Linked DNA regions of Saccharomyces cerevisiae S288C. The main gene of each other region encodes a partner of the protein of the gene in region 2 in a complex. Each region holds a gene or a part of one and is shown on either strand. Other genes may lie near its edges.

The links.
Region 1: UFE1 (region 2) and USE1 share a complex: the UniProt entries of both Saccharomyces cerevisiae proteins name them as parts of the SNARE complex.

Annotation. Positions count from the first base shown.
Region 1 is NC_001139.9:315,303-318,591, reverse strand, and holds USE1 (SNAP receptor USE1), read right to left. Parts: upstream 1,251-3,289; coding exon 513-1,250; downstream 1-512. Other genes in the region: ribosome biogenesis GTPase LSG1, read right to left, coding at 2,039-3,289. UniProt on the Saccharomyces cerevisiae protein: SNARE required for targeting and fusion of Golgi-derived retrograde transport vesicles with the ER.
Region 2 is NC_001147.6:466,399-469,832, reverse strand, and holds UFE1 (Ufe1p), read right to left. Parts: upstream 1,622-3,434; coding exon 581-1,621; downstream 1-580. Other genes in the region: SKI7 (Ski7p), read left to right, coding at 1-456; CDC21 (thymidylate synthase), read left to right, coding at 2,244-3,158; SGO1 (Sgo1p), read right to left, coding at 3,290-3,434. UniProt on the Saccharomyces cerevisiae protein: Syntaxin required for targeting and fusion of Golgi-derived retrograde transport vesicles with the ER.

The DNA.
Region 1 (3,289 bases), on a different chromosome or scaffold from region 2:
TGTAATGGAATGCACTTGGCTACTATGGACCTTATACATGAGAAAAATTTAGTCCATTATGAGTATCATCATAATGCGTTCAATAATATGACTTAAAATCAAAATCAACTTACTAGTATAACGTAACCGAAGACCCCTCCTTATTTTACCCTCATCGAACACTGCTGTTCTATTAGCTTTCAGTCAGATCAGGAAATGTTATGATTTTGTCGTTTTGTTTAGCTACTTTTGTTTTCTCAAATGTTTATTCTTTTTCAAATATTATATGTATAAAAAGATTCACCGCACCAACACAGAAAGCAATCAGATAGCAGGATTCAGTTTGAGACGGGAAGTAGGCAACTATACGGAAAGGAGAATTCTGCAGCCTATACAAATTTTATTGTATACTTTTTTCTCACAATTTGCTTTTTTCAATAGGAATAATCTCAACTACATGAAAAAATGCCGTAAATATTAATAAACAGTTGAATTTTTCTTCCAAAAAACATCATTCCATCGTTATAATTACATTATAGGGCCGGGAATAATTGAATTATGATAAATGTAAACACCAGTCCGAGAATCATAAAAATGAAAACAGTAATATAAAACAAGTAACTCAATTTACTCTTGTCATATTTCCTTAATTTACCGCTAACATCCATTAAACCTTGAGAAGCAACTTGAATACCTATCTCTGCAGCTCCAAGAACTTGCTTATCTTCATCAAGTGCTGATTGAAATGCCACAGCTCCTTGCTTCAAACTGCCCACAAGTTTGCTCATATCCTGAATCAAATCCTGTTGCAACGTGTCCTGGTCCTCAATTTGCCTATCGACTGATTTCGTAGTTTCATATCCTAAACCCTTATTCTGTCCCTTCCCCAACAATCTCTTTCTCAACTCCATAACAGCTTCGCTATCTTCGTTTCTATCAATAAACTCCTCATTTGGGTATTCTGTTTGCGATTCCGTGTCAACTGCATCTACAGAATCTAAATCGATACTATATCTTCTTGTTTTTGAACTGCTTTGGTACTGTTCGTACTGTGACTCCATTATTTTGTGGGCGTCATGTTTTGTTTGCAGATATTCAAATGCTTCTCTTTGATAAGTATGTTGATACCTCAAAAACTCCTCTGAGACCTTATTGTCGTCACTTGATCCCAGTTGTTTTGTAACTGCTTTCCTTCGTAGACGATTCAAATTAGTTAATTGTTTGCTACTCAAAACGTAGGACAGAAAGGGGTCGTTGGAAGTTTCAGCCATCTTGCCTTGCTATTATGTGTCCTGTCAACCTTTTTTTATTCTCTGTGTATGTTGAAATTGTATTCTACTTTATAAATTTAGTGGTGATAAAGTGGTGAAGCTTTCCTCCGGCCATATTTTATATATACTGACCTACTTTAGGGAAGAAAAACGAACAAATCCAGACCGACATCTGTAACAGGTATCGGTCAGTATCACGCTCATATGACAAGATATAGGGAGCAACTACATGCAATCACTATACGTACGTAAATATACTCTCCTATAAAAAGTAAATATATGAGAAAAATTTCCGCCCATCTACTATCAAACTATAGACTGTGGGAATACTCAGTCATTGTTAGCGAAAAAAGGCGGGATAGAACTTATTTTAGGCATCTTGAGCTTATTTCTTAATGCGTGGGAAAAATTGTAATTTGTGAAGCTTAAGGATAATCAGACGGAAAAGCTAGCTTGGATCCAAGAAAAACTCCCGGTAACCAGGCCAGCAGCCCCTAAATGGTCATCCACTAACACAAATTACTTGAACATGTTGAAATGTGTTGAAGAGCCATGATATTTTTATTTTTTATTCGAAAGAAGAATTAAACTGAGGAAAGAAAGAGCAAATTAATAGAGGGCCGTTTTATAATATCTCTAGGACTCAAAAATTCTTCCAAGAAAATTTGTCCGGGTAACGAACATAGTTTTATTATCTTAGGTCTATTCTCAAATAACGCTGTCATTAATTGGCGAGATGAAAAGATAATAGTACACAGTTTTTTTGAGAAGATATATGTTAGTTACCGCTAATTATTTTCAATGCTAAAAACTTTGCTTTTCGCATTTTTACTTTTGTTTTTTTTGTTATGTCTCTTACCAGCTGAACTATTTTGAACTTTGTGGAATGGTGTACTTAATCTACCTTCGACGTTGTTCATCTTGAAGAAGTCTCTATCCAAGTCCTCAGCGGCATTGTACAATGCAGCTTGTTTACCACCGTGCGTAACAGATTTGGCTTCTTTTTGTGTGTCACCACCAGTGTGAGCTGAAAACGTTAGCTGATTCAAATCACGAGCTAAATCCACGATATCAATGCCTTTAGCCTTAGCAGCATTTTGCACTTGCTCCTTTCTGGTGTCCGGTAATCTGTCGAACACATATAAATCTTTGTTAAATTCTTCACACTCTTCTCTAGTGTAAGGTGTATCATCCTCTAGATGGGGCGGAGGGTTGACATACAGTAATTTCCCATTGACGTAATCTTTCAATATATAACGACTTGCTCTTGGTTCATCAGCAGAACCGTAACCTTGAGTCATATAACCACGAGCTCTGGCGTATGCGACTAACAATTCTTGAGCAGTTGGTATATCCCCATTCCCACCTTCATCCCTTGATTTGGTTTGAATATGGATACCATAAATCGCTTCAATGTAATACTTTGGTATTCTTTCTGCTACTAAACCTGCTGGACCAATATAATCACGTAATTGATCAATAGGTAAAACACCATTACACACGAGCTCACCCTTGTTATATGCAAAGTTTGGGAAGACAAGACCGGGACAGTCACAAAGCATGACAGAATCAGATAACTTAATAGTTTGGAAGTGTTTTGTTTTACCAGGCGTGGATGAAACAGAAACTTTCTTGGCACCCACGAGCGAATTAATAGTGGAGGATTTACCTACATTTGGATAACCAACCAAACCAATATTAATCAGTGGAGGTTGACCGGGCAGAGGTGGCAATAAAGGCTCGTTTGGAGCTTTTGATAAAAACAATTCTTCCAGTTGGTCAATGGACAGAATTTTAACTTTTTCCATAACTTTTTCATCAGCATCGAACCCTTCTTTATCAGCTTCCTCGAAATCTTGTTCTCTATAATCTTCCCCCATTTCCTTTTGTTTCTCCAATAATTGATTAGCTCTCAATGCAGAGTAAAACGTGAACGAAATATTCTTGGAGATAAAGTACTTTGCCCAAGCGATACGTTGCTTTTTGGTCAATAAATCTGCTTTATTAACTAGCAGTAAGTTTGCTTTTCTGTCATCTGA
Region 2 (3,434 bases):
TCAGTCGGTTTGAACCCTGACATTTTAGAGGTTCTTGTTAAGATTCATAATACCGAAGACTTCACGAAAAAGCAATTTCACATTCGTAAGGGTGATATAATAATTCACTCTAGAAAGACGAATACACTATCACCGAATTTACCAAACACACTAAAGTTGTTAGCCTTGCGTTTAATAAAATTATCAATACAAACGCACGCGCTAAGTGATCCCGTTGACTTGGGTTCTGAATTGCTTCTTTACCATAATTTGACGCACAACGCGGTAAAATTGGTGAAGATTCTCGGGACTAACGACATCTCAATTAATCCAAATCAGTCACTTATTGTCGAAGTCGAAATTATAGAACCAGACTTTGCTCTTAATGTGATTGATTCCAAATACATTACCAACAATATTGTTTTAACATCAATAGATCATAAGGTTATCGCAGTTGGCAGAATTGCATGCCAGTAATCCTACAACTAAGAAATTATACTAGGCATTCATACTTATTGTTTAATATATAAAATGAATAGTAATAAGTTGATGATAGATTGATTTTTTTAACCCATTTTACACATATCTTATGAAAGTGATATTAACCTACATAATCTAGGAACAATATAAAAACACCCATGATAATGGCACCATAAGTGGTCATTTTAGCAGTTCTTCCAGCAGCTCGTTTCGCTTTACGTAATTCTTTATTTCCCTTCTTAATATTCAATTCAATGTCATCTTGATTGTTCAGCATTAGGTTTATATTTTGAGATTGCACCGTTAAATGATTGGACAATTCGTTCTGTATATTGACAATGTCTAAAATTGTTTTGTTTATAGTCTCCACTTTTTTCAATTGCTCATTTTTTTGATTTAGCAGTTCCGAATGTTCTGTCTCCAACACTTGTAGTTGCTCCTGGGTTAATTTGGATATCGTCTCTTCATAATGTTTTACTTCGTCTTGTACAGTTTCTACGGGAGCAGATTGTGACACTGAGATGTCTATTGCATCTGCAGAGAAATCATCCGCATTGTTGGATAAAGTAGGCATAGGCGTTGAATTGAAATTCATTTTATTTTCTAATATCAATCTTTCCTGTTGTATGGTAGTGAATTTGGATGAAACATATTTTATCCACAAATTCAAACACCGTAGGACACCTAATCTAAATTCATAAACTCCATTTTCAATGTCTTGCGGATGTATCACATGCTTAGTGTTGTCGTTTTTATTGGAAAGTATTTTTGACCATCTGTGAGACTTTGACTGAAATCTTTTCAGCGACAAATTATGCCTTTCCATTTCGTAATTCTCTAGGAATTCAAACTTTTTGAAATATTGTTGAATTTGCAGCCTGCATTCCATGTCAAACTCGTCCTTTTCCGCATCACTCATATTAAAGTCATCTAAATAGTTTTTTTCAATCTGTTTTATTACCTTGTTTAATTCGACTAGGAACTTCAATAGTCTTGCACATTCCTTAATAAACGAATCCCTAAACATTTCACACGTTTCATTAGAATTCCCGAAGTCCTCTTGTTTCCTTTCAACATGATCATCTATACCATTTTGCTCATTTCTAGCATCATCGATAACAGCAACATACTTACGGAATATTGGTGTTAAATCAGACATCATGAGTTAATAAGCTCTTCACTGCTTTTACGGGTGATTTCCCAGCACCGGGGGAAATGATACTAGACGTATGTGTATGTATTCTAGTTATTCTCATTCATCTGAGCTCACAAGTTGGGTAGGGTAACGGAGATCTTTCCTTGTTGGCAGTTCTTAATTAAATGTGCCCTTTTCAGAAAGATACCAGCAAAGGTAGGAATGATTTATCATTACATGACATGTATCCATATTCCAGGATGGATCATGCGAACAAGCTTCTTTCCCCTCTCGTCTGTAAAGGACGGGATTGAGATTCAATTAAAAAATTAGTTTCATTGGAAAAGGCCAATAAAATATGCAAAGGTCCCGTCATTATACTGCAGCTACCTCAAAGAGATTAGCTTTGTGTCCTCAACGTAGGACCGCATTGAACAGGTTGGAAGAGGTGTTGCTTTTTTGACCTTCTTTCTCAAACTTAATATTTGGTGACGCGTTAAATAGAAAAAATGAAAAAGACCTTAATTGACGCGTTTCCTGAAATATTTACTATAGCATAGCTGTAATTGTATTTTCTAAACTTGTAAGTGACTGTGTATATCAAACAATAAAGTATCAAGGAGAGAGCTTCATAACAGAACGGTACAGGATGACTATGGACGGAAAAAACAAAGAAGAAGAGCAATATCTTGATCTATGCAAAAGAATCATTGATGAAGGTGAATTTAGGCCAGATAGAACAGGCACTGGTACGTTGAGTCTTTTTGCACCACCCCAGCTGCGTTTTAGTTTACGTGATGATACCTTCCCACTACTAACGACCAAGAAGGTTTTTACTAGAGGTATCATACTTGAACTATTGTGGTTTTTGGCCGGTGATACAGACGCTAACCTATTGTCTGAGCAAGGTGTTAAGATTTGGGACGGTAATGGATCTCGTGAATATTTAGATAAGATGGGGTTCAAAGATAGGAAAGTAGGAGATCTGGGGCCCGTTTACGGATTTCAATGGAGGCATTTTGGTGCTAAATACAAGACGTGCGATGACGACTATACTGGACAAGGTATTGATCAATTGAAACAGGTTATACATAAACTAAAGACAAATCCCTACGATAGAAGAATCATTATGAGTGCCTGGAACCCAGCTGATTTTGACAAAATGGCTTTGCCGCCATGCCATATTTTTTCACAGTTCTATGTCAGTTTCCCCAAAGAAGGAGAAGGATCCGGTAAGCCCCGCCTTTCATGCTTATTGTACCAACGTTCTTGTGATATGGGGTTGGGAGTACCATTTAACATTGCATCATATGCTTTGTTGACTAGAATGATTGCTAAAGTTGTCGACATGGAGCCAGGTGAGTTCATTCATACTTTGGGGGATGCACATGTTTATAAAGACCACATTGATGCCTTGAAAGAACAAATCACCAGAAATCCAAGACCATTCCCGAAACTAAAGATTAAAAGGGACGTTAAAGACATTGATGATTTCAAGTTGACAGACTTTGAAATTGAAGATTATAATCCTCATCCAAGAATTCAAATGAAAATGAGTGTATAATTGACAGCACGAGGAGAAACAAAATCATGTACTTACGTATATACACACAAAATCGAATGTATATAATACAATGGTTTATTATGCAAAAATATAGAAATTATTAAGGAACACCAGGGCAAAAAGACTATATATCATTTTTTGGTGCGATATGTTTTTGGTTGATGTTTCACTGCCTTACCATTTCCAAATAAATCAAATACTGCTAAATCATCTTCATTTAGTCTAAAGCTAACAGATTTATTATTAACATTATTAATGTTTGAATTGTTATTGTCG